Ovis aries: one gene and its partner. The protein of the gene in region 1 binds, or shares a complex with, the protein of each later gene. Links are inferred from orthologs where the notes say so. Each region holds a gene or a part of one and is shown in the gene's direction. Other genes may lie near its edges.

The links.
Region 2: the proteins of CSF3R (region 1) and CSF3 are in contact, whole or in part, in a crystal structure (PDB 2D9Q), measured with the Homo sapiens proteins. The link is inferred for Ovis aries from reciprocal best matches to the Homo sapiens genes CSF3R and CSF3. Residues at the interface, in NP_000751.1 of Homo sapiens: Arg164, Arg190, Lys191, Leu193, Leu194, Leu195, Tyr196, Gln197, Asp220, Met222, His261, Ile262, Asn263, Arg311, Pro313, Leu314; in NP_000750.1 of Homo sapiens: Ser42, Leu45, Lys46, Glu49, Gln50, Arg52, Lys53, Leu141, Asp142, Asp145, Thr148, Thr149, Gln152.

The regions. Positions count from the first base shown.
Region 1 is NC_056054.1:11,308,362-11,318,565, reverse strand, and holds the start of CSF3R (granulocyte colony-stimulating factor receptor), read left to right. Parts: upstream 1-4,777; 5' UTR 4,778-4,855; intron 4,856-6,121; exon of another isoform or gene 6,122-6,176; intron 6,177-7,997; 5' UTR 7,998-8,017; coding exon 8,018-8,081; intron 8,082-10,204. UniProt on the Homo sapiens protein: Receptor for granulocyte colony-stimulating factor (CSF3), essential for granulocytic maturation. Plays a crucial role in the proliferation, differentiation and survival of cells along the neutrophilic lineage.
Region 2 is NC_056064.1:40,077,014-40,087,499, forward strand, and holds CSF3 (granulocyte colony-stimulating factor), read left to right. Parts: upstream 1-4,222; 5' UTR 4,223-4,341; coding exon 4,342-4,354; intron 4,355-4,456; coding exon 4,457-4,611; intron 4,612-4,994; coding exon 4,995-5,102; intron 5,103-5,247; coding exon 5,248-5,394; intron 5,395-5,595; coding exon 5,596-5,760; 3' UTR 5,761-6,570; downstream 6,571-10,486. Other genes in the region: MED24 (mediator of RNA polymerase II transcription subunit 24), read right to left, coding at 8,276-8,392, 8,553-8,701, 8,971-9,051, 9,961-10,060, 10,362-10,452. UniProt on the Homo sapiens protein: Granulocyte/macrophage colony-stimulating factors are cytokines that act in hematopoiesis by controlling the production, differentiation, and function of 2 related white cell populations of the blood, the granulocytes and the monocytes-macrophages.

The DNA.
Region 1 (10,204 bases):
TCAGGGCAGACAAGACTCAGGCAGCCAGAAGTGACAGGGGATCAGCCTGGCAGGGAGGCGGCAGGGTACCCAGGTAAAGGCTGGGGAGAGGCAACAAAGGCAGGGAGAAGAGACGGATTTCACAGCTCTTAATGAGCCTGAGAGCTCCATCAGGGCACCATCACGCCCCTGCGCTTGCTCGAGGAACATGCTTTCTGAATGATGAACAAAAAGCTCACTCTCCTTCATTAGGAACTAACTGGAGGTGAGGGTGTGAGGGAGGGGTGTGAAGAATGACTCCCAGGTCCGGGTGTTGGGGGGTTTGGGGTGGTGTCATTTAACAAGATGAGGTATGCAGGGATTGAGGACAGGTTTGGTGAAGTGGCTTCCCTTGTGGTTCAGCTGGTAAAGAATCTGCCTGCAGTGCAGGAGACCTGGGTTTGATCCCTGGGTTGGGAAGATCCCCTGAAGAAGGGAAAGGCTACCCACTCCAGTATTCTGGCCTAGAGAATTCCACGGACTGTATAGTCCATAGGGTCGCAAAGAGTCGGACACGACTGAGCGCATTCACTTTCCCTTTCACTTGGTGAAGTGGAGGGAAGGTGCATCCACTCAATCATTCATTCAACAAACCTGTATCAAGGGCTCATCACGTGACAGACGGGTTGAAGATCCTGGAGATGAGTTTCTAAGCAAAATACACTAAAACCCTTGCTCTCATGAACTTCCATTCTAGGCGGCAGGGACAGCCAGTGTGCGACGATGAAGAGGTAATATTAAAGGAGAAAGGGAGCTAGGGAGTGAGGGGTGGTTGCAGTTTTTAAAGGGTGGTCAGTAAGGGCCTCAATGAGAAAGTGACATTTGAGCAATCACTTTCTGCTCAAATGGAGGGGAGGGAGTGACCCATATAGTCATTTGGGGGAAATTAGTCCAGGCAGAGGAAACAGCAAGTGCAAAGGCCCAGAGGCAGGAGGGAGCCTGAAAAGTACAACAGAATGGCTGGAGCATAGCAGCAAGGGGAAGAATTGTCACAGAAGGGCCAGAGAGAACCCCTAGTTGAAAAGGGCTTTGTAGGTTGTTGAAAAGGCTTTGACCTTGAGTGAGATGAGAGCCATTGGGAGCTGGGGCAGAGGATGACATGACCTGACTTCTGTTTGATCAGCATCACACTGGCCACTGAAGGAACAATAGATGGTTGGGGGCAGGGGTCAGTACAAGGATGAATGGAAGGGGGAGGGGAAGGGGGGCCATTGCAGTGATCCAGGTAAAAGAAAGGATGGCTTAGAGCTGGCTGCTATTGGTTTAAGTGATATTTATATTTTCCAACTTTTCATCAGGGAAATATCCAAACATATGGCCAAGCTGAACTTTACAGTGAATACCTATCTACTCAGGATTTTGGTTCTAATATTTTGAAAGAAGAGTCGATGGGATTTGCTGAGCATGTGGATCCTATGGGGCACCTCAGAGAGGTAGCTGCCGACAGATGGATATTTCAAACTGGAACCAGAACCAAAACCCAAGTCTGCCCCCTCGCAACAGACTCAGAAGCTCACTTTTCCTGAAATGCGTCATACGGTGTGGACACTTCACTAGTGTGTTAGTTCAGTTCAGTTCAGTCGCTCAGTCGTGTCTGACTCTTTGCGACCCCATGAATCGCAGCACGCCAGGCCTCCCTGTCCATCTCCAACTCCCGGAGTTCACTCAGACTCACGTCCATAGAGTCACTGATGCCATCCAGCCATCTCATTCTCGGTCGTCCCCTCCTCCTCCTGCCCCCAATCCCTCCCAGCATCAGGGCCTTTTCCAATGAGTCAACTCTTGGCATGAGGTGGCCAAAGTATTGGAGTTTCAGCTTCAGCATCATTCCTTCCAAAGAAATCCCAGGGCTGATCTCCTTCAGAATGGACTGGTTGGATCTCCTTGCTGTCCAAGGGACTCTCAAGAGTCTTCTCCAACACCACAGTTCAAAAGCATCAATTCTTCAGCGCTCAGCTTTCTTCACAGTCCAACTCTCACATCCATACATGACCACAGGAAAAACCATAGACTTGACTAGACGGACCTTAGTCGGCAAAGTAATGTCTCCGCTTCTGAATAAACTATCTAGGTTGGTCATAACTTTTCTTCCAAGGAGTAAGCGTCTTTTAATTTTATGGCTGCATTCACCATCTGCAGTGATTTTGGAGCCCAAAAACATAAAGTCTGACACTGTTTCCACTGTTTCCCCATCTATTTCCCTTGAAGTGATGGGACCAGATGCCATGATCTTCGTTTTCTGAATGTTGAGCTTTAGGCCAACTTTTTCACTCTCCTCTTTCACTTTCATCACGAGGCTTTTTAGTTCCTCTTCACTTTCTGCCATAAGAGTGGTGTCATCTGAATATCTGAGGTTATTGATATTTCTCCCAGCAATCTTGATTCCAGCTTGTGTTTCTTCCAGTCCAGCATTTCTCATGATGTAACTCTGCATAGAAGTTAAATAAGCAGGGTGACAATATACAGCCTTGACGTACTCCTTTTCCTATTTGGGACCAGTCTGTTGTTCCATGTCCAGTTCTAACTGCTGCTTCTTGACCTGCATACAGATTTCTCAAGAGGCAGGTCAGGTGGTCTGGTATTCCCATCTCTTGCAGAATTTTCCACAGTTGATTGTGATCCACACAGTCAAAGGCTTTGGCATAGTCAATAAAGCAGAAATAGATGTTTCTCTGGAACTCTCTTGCTTTTTCCATGATCCAGCAGATGTTGGCAGTTTGATCTCTGGTTCCTCTGCCTTTTCTAAAACCAGCTTGAACATCAGGGAGTTCACAGTTCACGTATTACTGAAGCCTGGCTTGGAGAATTTTGAGCATTACTTTACTAGCATGTGAGATGAGTGCAGTTGTGCGGTAGTTTGAGCATTCTTTTGCATTGCCTTTCTTTGGAATTGGAATGAAAACTGACCTTTTCCAGTCCTGTGGCCACTGCTGAGTTTTGAGCATATTGAGTGCAGCACTTTCACAGCATTATCTTTCAGGATTTGAAACAGCTCAACTGGAATTCCATCATCTCCACTAGCTGTGTTCGTAGCGATGCTTTCCAAGGTCCACTTGACTTCACATTCCAGGATGTCTGGCTCTAGATTAGTGATCACATCATCATGATTATCTGGGTCATGAAGATCTTTTTTGTACAGTTCTTCCGTGTATTCTTGCCACCTCTTCTTAATATCTTCTGCTTCTGTTAGGTCCATACCATTTCTGTCCTTTATCAAGCCCATCTTTGCATGAAATGTTCCCTTGGTATCTCTGATTTTCTTGAAGAGATCGCTAGTCTTTCCCCTTCTGTTCTTTTTCTCTATTTCTTTGCATTGATTGCTGAAGAAGTCTTTCTTATCTCTTCTTGCTATTCTATGGAACTCTGAATTCAGATGCTTATATCTTTCCTTTTCTCCTTTGCTTTTCACCTCTCTTCTTTTCATAGCTATTTGTAAGGCCACCCCAGACAGCCATTTTGCTTTTTTGCCTTTCTTTTCCATGGGGATGGTCTTGATCCCTGTCTCCTGTACAATGTCACGAACCTCATTCCATAGTTCATCAGGCACTCTATCAGATCTAGGCCCTTAAATCTATTTCTCACTTCCACTGTATAATCATAAGGGATTTGATTTAGGCCATACCTGAATGGTCTAGCAGTTTTCCCTACTTTCTTCACTTTGAGTCTGAATTTGGTAATAAGGAGTTCATGATCTGAGCCACAGTCAGCTCCTGGTCTTGTTTTTGTTGACTGTATAGAGCTTCTTCATCCCTGGCTGCAAAGAATATAATCAATCTGATTTCGGTGTTGACCATCTGGTGATGTCCATGTGTAGAGTCTTCTCTTGTGTTGTTGGAAGAGGGTGTTTGCTATGACCAGTGCGTTCTCTTGGCAAAACTCTATTAGTCTTTGCCCTGCTTCATTCCGCATTCCAAGGCCAAATTTGCCTGTTACTCCAGGTGTTTCTTGACTTCCTACTTTTGCCTAATCTTTATTGAGTCATAAATCCAAGAACCTGTGAACAGTCTGAACCCTCTTCAGAAAATGCACAGAAAATTATTTGTAAACAGCTGCAGGGTTTTGTGGATACAGACCATGAAAGACATAAAATATAGTCTGTTTCACTCAATGGAAAACATTTAGTTTGGCAGAATCACTGAGAGTGAACATTATTAATGTCTCGTGAGCCTATGAAGACCGGAGCCTCGTGAGTGACCCCTGCCTTGTGCCCAGAGTCCGTATTTCTGCTTCTGCAAGGCCTTCAGGCAGCAGGGGGAACATGACGTGCAGAGGGAGCGGGGAGGAAGGTACCGTGGTCCAGAATTCCCCGTAACCTTGGAGGCCGCCCCTTGAATATTGGGAGGATCAGGGCCCCAAAGCCAGTGCCGAAAAGAGGCTTAGGGCCAAGCAAGCCTTCGAGCCAGGGTCTGTCTCCAAGTGATGCTCCCCCAGGGCATGGGGGCATGGGAATGGCACCCAGGCGGGTTGGAGCCTGGGCCCTGCCAGCCTCAAAGCTTTGAGTCAGGAAATCCGGAGGCAGAGGTGGGGGACGACATTGCCACATCTCTCAGCCCCTTCAAGACCCCCAAGGCAGGAAGGCTGCCCAGGCCTCACCAGCTTCCCTCCCAGGCTCCTTCCTGGGAGGAAGGGGCTGCCCGTGCCCGCGTCAACAATGCAAGGGAGGGAAGGAGTTGGGCAGGTGTTGCAATCGGCAGCCCCTGCGCCTGTCAGAGACGGAGCCATTAACGACAGGGTTGGGGACAGAAGCCCGCCTGCGGCTGTTTTCAGGAACTTGCCTTGAAGAGGAGAGCAGAGACGGGGAGGCCGGGCGTGTGCCCGGCCGGCCGCAGGCTCCAGCGTGAGTAGGGGAGCCCCTGGGAGGGCTGGGCCTGGGAATGATGGGACCCTGGAGTCTCAGGTCCAGTCCCTTCTCTCTGCCAAGGGCGCGTGGCCCTTGGTAACCTTGGACCAGCACTCCAGCCTTAAGAATTTACCCCTGGGAACCAGGAGCCCTTGACACTGAGTCTTTTTTCCCAAGGTGCCCCTACTTTTTCGGGGGGTGGGTGCTGCATTTGGGAAGTCACAGACAGACAAATATCTCTTTGGGACACTGAGCTGGGCTCAAGAAAGGGCTGGATTCAGGGAAAGTTATACTCATTATTTGCCTCCAAGTCTCTGACAGCCTGTGTCTTAACTGCTTCCAGTCTCCATGTAAATTTCACACCATGTAAATTTCTCTCTTTCCTCCTCAGCCCTTCTCTGGCTTGCTTGGCTCTGAGCTCCTGTCTGTCTGTCTCAGAGTCTCTCTATGCCTCTCTGTTTGTCTCTCAAGGGTCCCTTTGTCTCTTGAGTCTTAAACTCTGAGTATCTCTTTCTTCTCAGCCTCCGAGTGCCTCCGTCTCTGAGTATCACCATCCCTTGCCTCAGGCTCCTTTCTCTCTCCCCCTCAGTCTTTCTCTCTGAGATCTCTCTCCAGCATTTTGGTCTGTGCATCCCACTTTCCTACTTTTTCCACCTGTCTTTCTCTGTCTGAACCACATCTAGGAAGTCCTCTCCCTGTTCTGTCCCAGCCCCCTCCTCTCCCCAACCCTCTTCCCAAGAATCTTCACGTGAAGGGGAGTAGAAAGAACAGGGGAGACAGGGGCGTGAACTGGAGAAGGGGGAGGCGAGAAGGCTGAGTGTGATGGGATGGAAAGGAGAGGAAAGCAGAAGGGTGGTGGGGAGCAGGGGTTGGTGGTGCAGTGACCCCAGGGGACAACATGGCATGCTGGGACTCCAGAGTCCAGAGAGGGAGCAGGGATGGCTGGAAGCAAAGGGGGAGACTGGGAGGCCAAGGAGCAGGGAACCCAGAAACGGGGCTTTGAAACATGAAATGTGACACAGACAAAAGCGAGGTGGCAGTCCTAGGAGGCAGAGACCACACAGCTGGTAAGCAGGCGAGAGAGGTACTAAACCATGCTGGTTCCATGAGGGGGTGTCCTGCTTTACGGCGCATGAAAGTAACATGGTTATGGAGCGCTTCCTCTACGCAAGATCTGTGCTAAGTGCCCTTATCACGGACCATCTCATTTCATCCTCACCCCGACCCGGAGAGGCAGGAGCTATTGTTATCCTTCCTTCACAGATGGGGTAACCGAGGCTCAGAAAGGTGGAATAATCTGTCCAAGGTCGCCAAGCTGGTAAGTGGTGGACCTGGGGTTCAGATGACTCAAAGCTGGGCCCCCAGAAAGTGACGCCATGCTCCACCTGGTCCCAGATCCCACTCGGCTGGGGTGGGGAATATCCAAGGTTGCCATGGGTGACCAGGGACTGATACCCTGTGCCAACCCCTGGCAACCCAGGGAGAAGATGCCTGGGCCCTTGGGATTTGGGTTTGGGTTGCCTACTGGGAGCCCGTGGAGAGGGATAAGTGGTGCCTCACCAGGCAGGAGGGCTAGGAAATGATCAAAAATACATAGGAACAGGCACTAGTGTCCTGAAATCTGAGCCAAGGAGACGAACTCTTCCCCAACAAGTGTGCATTGGTGGATAGTCAAACCGGATGCTGTAGGAACAAGGTTGCCAACCACTAACTGGTAGACTGGGGTCCTCTGAACAATTGTGCGGGTTTCTCACTGCACAAAGCTGCCCAGAAAGTAGAGGCTGAAATCCAGCCTGTTCTCTAGTTGCTAGGTCCTTGTGTGGAGCTGCATTTGTCTAGAGAAAGGGATGCTTTTTTCCTGATTTGCAAAAAGATGACTTAGGGGCTAGCATCCACCTGGTATCCTGATACTGCAACATATAATGAGGGACCAGGGATTTAAGTAAGACCCCTGCAGGCAGAAACAGCTTTGGGTATCTGCAGTTATTCACTCCTCTGTCTTGGAGCGAAAGAAGCTTAATCTTTTCTGAGCACAGGGGATCGGTTGGGACGCCACCTACATGTACGTGTTCATGTAGGTACATGCAAAAGCTGGTCAGCGATTCCCACTGATCTGCCACCCAGACGTCAGTTAGTGCCGGAGGACCAGGTGTCTGGCCCCAAGACTCCAGTGGGAGCAGAGTGGAAAGGCTGGAAGCCACTCCAGCAATAGAAACCTTTGCTTACTTCCTGAGACTAATGTACTAATGCTCCCTCCATCTGGGCACTGTCGCCATGACCACAGGATATCTGGTCCCAGAAGGCCTCCAGAGGTCTGTGCCCAGAATTGGGGTATCCTCTCAACCCACCCTTCCCTTTAGCCATTGCTGTGGAAGCCAGCTTTTCAAGGTGCACCCTGTCCTCAGCTGTTCCGTGGGGTTGTCCCTTTCTGCCAGGCAGTGAGCGTTTCTGACTCTTTGAGCATGGCTTACCTTGGAGGACCTGCCCAGTACTCAGACATGTGCAATGTGATACGTGCCAGGGAGTTAATACCCCAAGGAACAGCCCTTGACCAACAAGGGGCAGGAACCGGTGGACAATGTTCCCATCCTGTCTGCCAGCCAAGTTCTGAGGCATGTTCAGCGTGGCTCCTTGCAAGATTCCAGCAGGATTGAGCCCCAGCTGTACCCAGTTTAATGATGTACCCTTGTGTTGGCTTTCCTTCTTACCCGTTTCATTCTCCCCTCTCCCTTACTCTGTTCCTGGAGTCTTCCCCCAAATAAACTACCTGCAGCCAAGCCTTCATCTCAGGCTTTGCTTTTAGCAGGCTGGGAGACTGGCTAAAACAGAAGGGAACGGGAAGAATGCTGTTCCCTGTGGCTCCCTTCCCTGCTCTCTCCTTAAAGGCACATATAAGAATAACAGTCATTTAAGAGTCATTTCCTATGTGCCAGGTACCGTGCGATGCCCTTGACTTGCATCATTTTGGGTCTTCCTCCCCAGACCCTATGCAGTATAGGTTTTTGTTACCTTCATTTTGCAGAGCAACCAGGTTCAGAGAGGTCAAGTAACCTGGCTGAAGCCACACCGTAGCAGAGCAAAGACTAAGCTCAGCTCTGACTCCAAAGCCCATGACCTTCACCACCCTCTCTGTCTCCAGGTGAGGACCAAGCCAGCACGATGGTGGGGCTGGGAGCCTGGAGCCTGGTGGGAGCTGCTCTGATCATCCTGCTGCTCCCCAGAAGTGAGTGTGGTCAGGGATGAGGGTGCCATGGGGTGGGGGGATCACAGGGAGAGATGCTGGGGATGGAGGAGGGGGTCATTTCCCTGCATTGTCACAGTGCTCCTGGGGTTCCCAGAGAATCGACTGGGCCACAGATGCAGGGTAGCTGGGCTCCCACACACAGACCTCTGCCAGCAAACCACCACCTCTGAGGAAAGGTGAGAGGACCTGGGCTAGCCAGCGTGGGGAAGGTGCAAAAGACCCAGGTCTTGTCTGCAAATCTCTACTGGGTTGTGTCTGAGTCCTGTGCAGCCTTCGTGGGCTGTAGAGGGATCAGGGTGGAAGCCGTGAAAAGGCAGGTTTAATCCTTAAGCAAGAAATCTCCAGGACTTCCCTGGCTTCCCTGTCGGAGTCCCCAGTGGTTAGGACTCCGTACTTGCACTGCAGGGGGCACAGGTTCAATTCCTGGTCATGGAACTAAGATCCAACACGCCACATGGTGCTGCCAAAAAAATAATAATAATTTTTTTTAAAAAATGAATCCCAGGCACAGCTCTCCAGACTATGGAGACTATCTTGAGAGGTGCAGAGCCTCCCATCTCTAGGGGTATGCAAGCCAAGGCCCAACAGGGGTCAGCAAACTTTGACGTCATTTTCAGCTTTGCAGGCCACATACAGTCTCTGTGGCATGTTCTTGCTTATTTGTTGTTTGGTTTGGCTTTTCACCCTCTAGAAATATAAAAAGTGTTCTCAGCTGGCAAGCCATACAAAACAGATCATCCTAGCCCTGTGGTAGAGGACTTGGTATTACATGGTGTTTTGAAGTAAACAGTTGCAAGAGTCCTGGTCTGAAATTCTGAGTCTGTGATGTGATAGGAGCCCTATAAACTTGCTCTGTGACCCTGAACAAATTGCTCCTCCTCTTGGGGCTTCAGCATCCCCATCAGCAAAATGGGCTGCAGAACAGCTGGGAGAGGAGAGAAGGCACTGTGGGCAGAGTCCAGTGCTTGTTCTTACTCCACACATATTCACCAAGGGCCTGCATGGCGCTCAGCTCTGGGAATGCAGCAGTGAGCAAAACAGCCAGGGATTCTGGCCTTGCAGAACCTATGGTCTAGCTGGGGGTACAGAGTAGCAAATCATCACGTGACTCTATAATTACGAAAGATATGAGCTTTGGGAAAGTTCAGGGGCCCTGGCATGGTCTGACTGGTCAGAACCCGGTCTGGTTCCTCACAAGATGCCTGAATGTCAACCAGGTGAAAGAGGGGTGGCAGAAAGGAAAAGGAGCACCTCTGAAAGGATCAGCAGGTATGAAGATCGGGAGACGGAGGGAACGTGGCATTTTCAGAGAATAGCATGTAGGCTAGAGGGACTGGAGCTGAGAGGCAGTGGTCTGGGCTGGAACCAGGAGGTTTAGGCAGGGGCCAGGCCACAGGGGTTGTGAGAAGGATCTAAGTCTTGGGCTGTGAGAAGGATCTGAGTCTTTAACCTAATCATAGCAGCAAATACTTACATGCCAGGGACTGTTCTGAGTGCCTTACGCATATTCTCACATCTAATCCTCCCAACATCACTAAGTTAAGGACTTTTTTATCTTCATGCCACAGATGAGAAAACCAGGGCACAGAAAATCTGGGTAACATCAAGGTCACAAAATTACTAAGCAGTAGAACCAGGTTCTAAACCTAGGCAGTCTAGTTCCAACATCCACGCTCTTATCCATCACAGCGCACTGCCTTTCAGAAGAATAATGTGCCATTGAAGTGCTGTGGTCATGATAGGGTAACAATCAGATATGAATTCTGGAAAGATTGCTGTGGCCGCGGGCTTCTTATCACTCTAACCATTGTTTCGCCATTGTTGGGGAGGGGACTGGTCTCCATCTGGTGGCGTGCTGGCGTTGGCTTGCAAGCACTGATTGTGTACCTCTTTTCCCAAGTTCACATTCAGTAATGTCAGCCTGGTAGCTTGAAATCAGCCCCGGTGGGAATATTTACACCAGGGAAAGCAACCCAGGCTACAAGCCAGGACCCGTTTCTCTCGGTATAGCAGGTTGATAAACATTTACCCCCACACCACTATCTCCATCTCAACTCGAGAGCCTCTCCCAATCTCTGCACACATCCTTGCCATTCCAGCAC
Region 2 (10,486 bases), on another chromosome or scaffold:
ACTACAGAGAAGTACAAAGAATAACAAAAGTTTAAAAGCCCATCTTTAAAGGTAAGTTTAAAGCCCATCTTTCCCTCAAGACAGCCACTCTGCTAAATCCAATGGCTAGCCTTCCAGTTTACACTTTTCTACTTTTACTACAACATACAGTATTGTCTTGAGTTTTTAAATCTCTGCAAATGATGTATCACCTGAAAGTAAGTTCCTTTCACTCAGTAGGGGTTTTGAGGTCTAATCATCTTTAAACCCACACCCAGCACTGTTCCAAGGACTGAAAACACAACTGAATAAAACAAACTCCTTTCCCCGTGGGTTTTTATTCTGGAAGGGTGGGGAGCCATACGTGGTATGAATGGGCCACGATTTATTAATTTACTGGTGGCCATTGGCCAACTGTTACAAACAACATTCCAGAGGACATTTCTGTGTGTCCCTTTGTACATGTGTCCTGTGGACATAGTTTGCAAACTGTTCTTAAAGGGTCTGACAGTACGTTTTTTAGACTTGTGAGCCATATCCGCAGTCACAACTATTCACTTCTGTCCTTCTTGAAAGGGGACTTGCATAAACAATATGTAAACAAATTATTTGTTTTTGGCTGTGCTGGGTCTTCACTGCTGAGCGGGCTTTCTCTAGTTGCAGCGAGCAGGGCTGCTCTCCAGGTGCAGAAGCCTCTCGTTGCGGTGGCTGCTCTAGTCTTGAGTACAAGCTCTAGGTGTATAGGCTTCAGTAGTTGCCGTGTGGGCTCAGCAGTCGTTGCCTTGTGGGCTCTAGAGCCCAGACTCAGTAGTCGTGGCACCCAGGCTTAGTCGCCCTGCGACCTATGGGATCTTCCCAGGCCAGTGATTGAATCCATGTTCCCTGCATTGGCAAGCAGATTCTTAATCACTGGACCACCAGGGAAGTCCTAAACAAATTATTTATGAACACTGGCTTGTTGTGATTTTTACATGTGATAAAATATTCTTTTTTTTTTCCAGCCATTTCAAAAAATGTAACACTCACTCTCAACTTGGGGTGTACATATCTCAGCCCACAGGCCAAGTCTGCAGCAAAGGCATTACTCCAGAGCCTGTATAAAGACACTCTGGGGCTTCCCTGGCAGTCCAGTGGTTAGGACTCAGGGCATCCACAGCTGGGGCACAGGTTTGATCCCTAGTTACGGAACTAAGATCCCCATGCGGTGCATGTCGTGGCCAAAAATAAAGGGGTTGGGGGGTGGGATGTGCTCTAAGCCCCAGTTCCAGATGAAAACAGGAAGTGTGAGTGGAAGCTACCCACCCGCTCTGGCTATTGAGAAATAATTAGGAAAGCCCTGAGGAAGCTGGGAGGATGAACAACAGCTAGGGGTCTCTGGGGCCAGGCCCTTTGAGAGACGGTTTCAGTCTGGCCCAGCCCACATGTATCAGAACCAGTAACTCTCTCTCTGCCTGGTCTTTATTCTCTCACGGGCGGGGCTGAAACCTGGGCTGAGCTGTCATCCAAGAAGTGCATCTCTGAATAGGAAGACAGTGTAATGAGAATGACGGGGGCTCAGGAAGGGCGGCCACAAATCCTGCCCCCAGTTTGTTCTGTGATCTTGGGCTTTTCCCTGCTCTGAAGCCAACCCTTGTCTATAATGGAGATTCTGCACACTCGGTTGATAGGATGAAAGAAGAAAGTGTAATGGAAGGTGCCTGGCATATAAGAGGTGCCCTCTAATTGTCAGCCAGCATTCACCCAGATTCTCTCCGTATGGGATGGAGGCCAGAACACCTCCCTGGCCAGACAGTCCCACTCTCTCTGGAAGCAGCTCACCCCATCCTTCAACACCTCCGGTAGTTAGAACACTCTCTTCTTGAGCTGAAAATTGGCTGGCCGTGGCTTCCACTCCCTATCCCACTTCTGGTCCCTGAAACCACACAACAACCCTCTCCTCTTTGCCAGACAAAACTGCCAGTTTGTGGACATTTCCTGGTGGTCCAGGGGTTAAGACTCTGTGTTGCCACTGCAGGGGACACAGGTTCGATCCCTGGTCTGGGAACTAAGGTGCCACAAGGAGCAGCCCCTTCACCAAAAAAAGCTTTTTTTTTTTTAAGTCTGCTTTTTTCAAATCAGCATCCTGAGTCCTTTCACCATTCCGGCCACCCTTGTTAGAATCAGCATTTTCTGAGCCAAACATCAGACACAGCTGCACTGTAAGCGAAAATTAAAGTTTGGGTCCAGAGCTGGCCTGGTCCCAGGTGAGGAAGGCGGAACGCAGAGACTCGATAGCTAAGAGCTGAAGACTCTGGCACAGGGCAGACCTTGGCTCTGCTATTTTGGGACACGTCATTTAACCTCTTCAAGATCAGATTCATCTTCTGTAAAGGGGGAGATCTTTCTGGTAATTTTGTCATAAGGTTTATTAAAAGAGTGCATTTGCCAATGTGCAGGAAGTGTTCCTTGGACTGCAAGGAAATCAAACCAGTCAATCCTAAAGGAAATCAACCCTGAATATTCATTGGGGGGACTGATGCTGATGCTCCAATACTTTGGCTACCTGATGCAAAGAGCTGCCTTACTGGAAAAGACCCTGATGCTGAAAACACTGGAGGCAGGAGAAGAGGGTGCCAGAGGATGAGATGGTTGGATGGCATCATGGACTCAATGCCCAAGAATTTAAGCTTCGGGAGACTGCAGAGGACAGGGAAGCGTGGTGTGCTGCAGTCCGTGGGGTTGCAAAGAGTCGGACAAGATCTAGCGACTGAACAACAACGGGGAGTGCCCAACACATTATCTGGGGTGGGCTGTGCACTCTGGAGGTTAAGGCGAGGGAGAGAAGGCATGATTGTGAGAACTCTTGCCCTGACTCCCAACAGTTCTGTTAAATTCACTCTTCCCATGAAGGTGGGCATAGAACTAGGCTTAATCAGTGTCCTGGCCTAAGGTAGAGTCAGGGCCAGGGCTGTCCAGCAGGGCCAGGGCTGTCCAGCGTGGCCAGGACCAGAAGCAGGACATGAATTGATTCATGGTTGTTGGCCCTGCCAGCTGTGACCACCAGAGGGCACCCCCACCCCAGAGATGGCCTGGACCAGTTAGACACACCCACTCCTCTTCCCAAGACTGTTAAGGCACCTGGTGGGCTTAACTGGGAGAGAAAGTGACAGTCTCAGATGCAGTCGGCCACACTGCCCCAGGCAGGCCCCATGGCCTATGGAAAACGCTCATACTGGAGGCAGAGGTCTGGGTTATAACTCCAACTCTGCTATCCATGACCTTGGGCGAGCCTCTTCATTCACTGACCCAGTTCACAGTGTTGGAACAGACGCCTAAAGTTCTCCCAGCCTGGACAGCGCGTGGTTCTTGGGTTTGAGGCCAGGAGGTTTCTTCTTTCTCACCCCAGCCCTTCTCCCCTCAGGGCAGCACACACTCGCCCGCTGGCAGTGAACCCCGCCAGGGAAGCCACCTGTCCCAGACCCTCAACTCCAAAGTGCTGAGGCACTGGCCGGGGGTGGGGGTGGGGGGCGGTCAGTGCAAGAGGAGGAGGAGGGACAAGGTCAGGTGACCCAAGAGCCTCGAAGGGTCTTGCTTCATCCGGGACAGACATCCGGTTTCCTCTGGTCTCTGCCAGGATTCCGGGGGCAAAGGGATGAGTCATGGGGGGATTGGGGAGTTCCCAGCTAATCAGTTCAGGATGGAGACCGGGAGGATGCCCATCAGAGTGTGGGGTGGGGACAGGCGGCCGGACCCCAACGTCCCTACCTCAGGCCTCTGGCCCCTCAAGAGGGCAATCAGAGAGGCGATCTCTATCGCCTGGGACCTGGCGGGATAGAAATGAGGAAACTAGCTTCTTCCTTCTCCAAATTGGGGGCCTAGGGAGCAGGTGGCTTAAGGATCCCGAGAGAGTGGCTAATGGGGCTGACCCAGGAGATATGCCAGGGGAGGGAGGGACGGAGGAGGGCCCCAGGCCTGCCTCTTCCTTGAGGTTCAACCAGACTCCAGCCTCCCGGCCTTTTATCATTAGCTCAGTTTGGTTCAGAGGTTTAGTTCAAACACTCTGGGGCAATTCAGACCTGGGTGGGGCTGAGGGGAGGAAGGGAGTTTGAGGGGGGCAAGACGTCAAAGAAGAATCAGAGATTCCACAATTTCACAAAACTTTCGCAAACACTTTTTTTTGGTCCCAACCCCCCTGCATTGTCCTGGACAACAAATTTGCATAAAACTTGGGAAGCTATTACTAAGCGTTAGTCGCAGCACCAGGTAATTTCCTCCCAGGCCTCCATGGGCTTGAGTATAAAGGCCCCCGGAGCTGGTCCCTGACAGAACCCAGAACCTACAGCCTCACCCAGACCCTTGGCTGAGCCTTCTGCCCAGAGCCCCATGAAGCTGATGGGTGAGTGTCTGGGTCCTGGGAGGGGAGAGCTGTGGCAGCGGGCAGGGATGCCTGGGCTTCCAGAAAGGTCTGCACTTCTCCTGAGCCCCTGTCTGCTCCCAGCCCTGCAGCTGCTCCTCTGGCACAGCGCGCTCTGGACGGTGCACGAAGCCACCCCCCTTGGCCCTGCCCGTTCCCTGCCCCAGAGCTTCCTGCTCAAGTGCTTAGAGCAAGTGAGGAAAATCCAGGCTGATGGCGCCGAGCTGCAGGAGAGGCTGGTGAGTGAGGGAGGCCAGCGTGGGGACAGGGAGGGGACAGATGCTGTAGCAGGGCAGGGAGGGAAGGAGGCGCAGGGGGGGAGCTGAGGGAGAGAGCAGGGCTGAAGGGCAGCGTGGGAAAGGGCAGCAGGAAGGGACACACGGTGAGAGAAGACACTGGGGGAAAAGGAGAATCAGGAGAGGCCCAGCCCGGAGGGCGGCTGGCGAGGAACTGGGGGAAGAGCCTCTAGTGCTGGGAAGGGTCGGCTGGGAGCTTGGATGGAAGAAGGGGGCTGAGAAGCCTGGCAGGACGGGTGGGGAGGCGGAGATGTGGGGGTGGAGAGGTGGGGGCGCTCGGGGAGGAGGAGGAGCTGGCCCCTCACCCAGCATCCCTCCCACCGCAGTGTGCCACCCACAAGCTGTGCCACCCGGAGGAGCTGGTACTGCTCGGGCACTCTCTGGGCATCCCCCAGGCTCCCCTAAGCAGCTGCTCCAGCCAGTCCCTGCAGCTGGTGAGTGTCCCAAGGGGAGAAGGGAGATGAGGGGGCGGAAGGGTAGGCTGACCTGGAAGGCTCCCCAGTTCTCTAGGCTCCACGCAGGGGCCCTGAGGGGAGCATCCCAGGCGGCGTCCCCTGACTCTCCCACCCGACCCCCCAGACGAGCTGCCTAGACCAACTGCACGGCGGCCTCTTTCTCTACCAGGGCCTCCTGCAGGCCCTGGCGGGCATCTCCCCAGAGTTGGCTCCCACCTTGGACACACTGCAGCTGGACGTCACCGACTTTGCCACCAACATCTGGCTGCAGGTGAGTCTCGTTGGGAGCTGGTCCCCAAAGGTAGTGCTGCAAGCCTGGGGCCCTGGAGTTCTCTAGGGCGGAGCCAAGTCCCTGGACCTGGTTCTTGTCCTGGCTCCACTGTGAACCCTGGATCTTCCACAGCCCATCAGCCCCCGGCCTTCCCTCCCTGTGCCAACTTGCCCTGACTGCTGACCTCATCTTCCCCCACAGATGGAGGACCTGGGGGTGGCCCCTGCTGTGCAGCCCACCCAGGGCACCATGCCGACCTTCACGTCGGCCTTCCAGCGCCGAGCAGGAGGAGTCCTGGTTGCTTCCCAGCTGCAGCGTTTCCTGGGGCTGGCATACCGTGGCCTGCGCTACCTTGCCGAGCCCTGAGCACAGCTCTTCCCCTCTTGTGTATTTATCTCTGTATTTAATATTTATGCTTATTTAAATCTAATATTTAAAGACAGGGAAGCACAGAAAGGAGCCCCAGGCTCCTGGGTCCTTCCTTCCACCTCCATGTGGGGAAAACTCCCCGTCTTGTGTACTGGGACTGGGAGGGAGTTGGTAAATACCAAGTATTACTTCTTGTAGCTGCTCCAGGTCTGGCTCCGCTGTGGGTTCTGGGGAAAGCTGCAGTGAACCCCTACCCTGAGGGTGCCCTCCTCGGGGCCCTTGGAAGCATCGGGAAGTCTCCCAGGTGGGAGACGAGACAGCCCTGTTTAATATTTAAACAGCAGTGTTCCCCGACTGGGTCCTTGCCCCCTGGCTCCAGCCCTGCATTCGGGCATGAAGCCCAGCAGAGGCAGCTGGAGTGGGATGCTTGACCCTGGGGTCCCATGAATTTGCTGGGGAAACTTCTTCTTTTTAAGACTTTTTTCAGGCACATTTTGACTCCTCGTGTGGGGAGCCCAGGCATCAGTGACGCCTCTTGTTTTTCTGGATGCGCTATAGACGCCATGAGGCTCATGACCTTGCTCCAACCCACCGGGGTTGGGGTCAGGATTCTGACTCTCTTTCGGGCTAGGCAGATGGTCGTGTGTCTCTGCCTTGCTGGGTGAGACTGGGAACATGGAAAGGAAAGATGAGGGGGCTTGTGTGACGAGGTGAGAGAGAAACACTCAACTGTTCACTTTCCACCCCGGCCCCCACTTTCTCCCTGTAGCCAAACTTCACGATAATAAAGTGTTTGTCTCCAGTAAATGGCCTTCCTCCTTCTTGAGTCCAGCTGGTGCCTGGCCAGGGGTTGCGGGTGGGGAGTTGAATGGCGGGCGAGGCCCAAGGGAGGGAAGAGGAGGTACGGTCATTCCTTGACACCCACTTGGCATAGACGCCAGGCCGGGTGCTGGGCGCGGAGTTAATGAGGCAGGCGTGGTCCCTGCCCTCGAGGAGCCACGGCCTAGTGGCTGGACAGGAAGCAGATGGGTCAGCAGTACCGGGAGAGGAGAGAGTGGGCTGGCGGTGCTCAACAGTCCAGACGCAGATGGACGTGGGCCTGATGCGAGGAGGATTTAGTATTCGCTTCGGTCTACCACCTTCCATAAACCTTCCCCCTCCTGTGCTCACAGCTGCCCATAAAGATAGGATTATGAAGGGCCTTTTACAGACCAGGGAGCTGAAGTCAGGGCGACAGCTTGGATCAGACCCCAAATTCCAGGCTCTGCGCTTCTCTCCCTCGTTGAGCTCTGCTTCTGACCTGGCGGGGAGCCCGCAGCCTGAACTCACATCTGGGGAGGCTGGAGGGGCCGCTTCACAGCACAGGTCCGAGGCAGACCTCTCGGCCAAGGAGGCACATGTGCTTCTGGGCTGCTACCACCAGACCCAGGACACCCAGATAGCCAACCAGTCCCCGGGTCCCCTCTCAAGATTCTCATCCGCGGCTCAAGTCACCTCCCACTCCCCTTCCCCACTGGCTCCTCAGAAGCAGGGTCAGGCTGAGGGGGCTGGAATCCCAGCTGTGCAGCTCAGGGTGCCCTCCCCCCTGCGGTTGGTCCTGAAAAAACCAGGGCTTGGAGATGTGGGACACAGGCAAGGAAGGGTTAAACAGAGCTCCTGCCCTCATCCCCCGTGGTTCCTCACCCCCCTCACCCCTCATCCCCCAAGTCAGTCCTCCTCCGGAGAGGAAACTCCGGGCCAGTGAGACTCTGGGTGGGGCTTGGAAGGGCTGGGAAGCATCGGAACGAACAGGACACCCTACCCCAGCACCAGCGGGGCCCTCAGCCAAAACCTTTCCCTTTGCAGAGTAAATCAGACTTTGCGAGCAGGGGGAGGCAGCTGGCAGGTATGAGGAAGGGAAGCTGCTCCCGTGCCCTGCCCTGCCCCTACCGCGTGGACAAACACGGGAAGCCCAGCCCGTGCCCAGCCCTCCCCTGAACTCTCCGCCTGCCTCCTCTACCACCAGACGGCAGGGGACCAAGGAGAAGACAGTGCTCTCCGCCCACGCCAGACACGGGCACCGATGGCTATAAAGGGATCCACGAGGTCTTTATTTACAACTGAGAGGAGGCAAACACACCTCATGTAAAAAAATATATATACATATATATACACACACACACAGACACACACACCCCGCACCCATAAAGTTCCTTGGAGGTAAGTCCACTCTTGGAAGGGGGACAAGCAGGCGGGTGGGGGTGAGGCGGGGGTGTTGAAGAGCCTGCTCTGAGTTAAGAAGCAGGCTGCGCACGCACATGAGGTACTGACAGTGGGGAGAGGAAATTATGAAAGAAACTGGGAGCCGTCCTGGAGGTCAGAAGTCAGGAGCAGGGGGAACGATCTGGAAAGCGACCGGGGGAGGTTACGTCATGTGGACGTGAGCAACGATGGCTCATCGTCCTGCAAGCTCCCTTCTGAGGCGCACAGGGCTGGAACGCTCCCGCCAGCCCCCGTGGCCACCCCAGGCCCCTCAGAGGGCGGCGATGGCTTTGGCGGCCACCTGGCGGCCCAGGGGCAGGCTGAGGTCCGTGATGGCCAGAACCACCTTGGGGCTGGACATGGCCGACACCTTCACCAGTTCTGATACCTGTCAGACAGACAGCTGCTGAGCGGGGTGGTGGTGGGCGTGATGTCTGGGGGAACAAGCCCCTCCCCACTGGCCACTGGACCCTGAGCTCTCCTGAGACTTGCTGACCCGCTCTGAGCTAGAGGGGGCCGGCTGGGGCCCGCAGGGGTGGGACACTCACGGTGGTGAAGGGCATGAACTGCAGGATGCTGCCTCGGCCGCCCTGCTCCAGGCAGTCCACGCACTCTTCCATAAACCACTGCACGAACTGCGTGTGGGGGCCAGCGGTCCGAGAGCCCAGGATGGAGGAAATGAGCAGGAACAGGTTGGCTAGGAAAGAGGGGGGCAGGAGAAGAATTCCGTGAGAAGGGCTTGGGAAGCAGTCAGATTCCGGGAGAAGAAAGAAGTGCCAAGGGGGTCCCCAAAATGGGGACATCAGAAAGAGAAAGCACTTAAGAAAGCTGAGGGCGAGCCAGAGAAGGACTCGATGGGGGCCTGGGGGAGACAGGAGAGCTGGCGGCCAGGGGAGATGGGCCAGAGGTGACGAAGGGAATGAGGCAGAGGAGACGAGGCTCGGGAACCAGGGTGGGAGGCCTCACCCAGGACTCGGTTCAGTGGATCTCTCATGTTGACTGTGTGGAGCTGGGAGGCCGACAGGGAGCTGCTCATGGACCGGTCAGCTGTGGGGACAAATGAGGGAGCATAGAGGAAATGGCCTCTTGTAATCAAAACCACTGTCCCAGGGGAAGCTCTCACCCCTCAGGAGTGGAGGGCCCACCCAGAGAGGTCCTTGGGTCCAGTCACATGGGCCCCAAACACAGACACCCCCACAAGCAGATAAGAGAGAAGAACTAATGTTAGGTCAGCGCCACCAGGCACCAAGCTGCAGGCTGTACACGGGTGAAACCGATAAATCCGCACATCTCCGTTTTACAGACAAAGAAGCAGAGGCTAAGATTCGCTAAGTAACTAGCCAAGAGTCACTAACCAAGTAACTAGCCAAGGGGTCTGTGCGTGGCAGACCCTTCATCTTTCCTCTTCTTAAGCACACTGGTCCCCTAATCCCTCAAGGCCCCAGAGAACCTCCAGCCTCAGGAGAAACCTCTGGAAACAGGAAAAACTAAACACCACGGGAGACCCCTTGGCAGGGAGGCGTGAGGACATCTAGGGAAGCAGGTGGGGGAGGGCTGTTCTCCTGACAGGAAGAGTGGGGAGCAGTCCAGCCCCAGTCCAGGCTGCTCCAGGCCTCAGGGCCCATTTCAGGGGAAGGAAGGTCAGGGCTGAGTCAAGGGCACAGTCTGTGCCTGAGGCAGTGAACTCACTGGGGTGAGGGGTGGGGAGGGGTCAGCTGTGCACCCTGGGCTTGGCTGAGATCTGGGTAGGACAGAGCCAACCCTGAAGGAGAAAGCACAGCAACCTCTAGGGTCTCCAGGGCAGGAAACCGAGCAGCTGGAGGGGCAGACTGGGGCAAATGCCCACCACACTCCCTTGGCCCAGCCAGAGGGACGCTGGGGCCAGAGCAGAGCGCCTCTCTGCAGGCGTGAGCTCCCAGAAAGGAAGCGGCCGCCTGGCTCTGTCCACACACTCACTGGGACTCGAAAGGATATTTGCATCTTCCTCATTGGAGCTCAGCAGGCGCATCAGCTTCGAGGGCTGCATGTCGTCCAAGGGGAAGAGGCTGATGTAATCCTAAGGGGCAGAGGAGTCACGTCACCACCCCTGCACCCTGACATCTCCCAGGATGAGGGAGGCAGCTGGAGTTCAGCTGGGAATCAAGTCCCCACAGGCCGCAGGCAGTATCTCCTGGGGGGCACCTTCCCTCTCGCCACCCTCCCCCCACCCTAGGGAGAGACACTCCCACGCAGTCACCCAATACAGTGGCCCAGGGGCAGGAGCCATGCCTGGCTGCCTGTGCCCAGGAAGGCGCCTCTTAAAAGAAAGGCTCAGCACACGTCTGTGGGCAAGGGAACAGGAAGGGGTGCCCTCCTACCTCAATGTCTTCCCGATGTCTCTTCTTTTGGCGGGAGGATGCCTGTCCCTTGTGGGAGGAGTAGGAACTCAGGGCACACCAGACGGCCAGCCTGGCAAAGGGGTCCAGGAGATGGGGGGAAAATC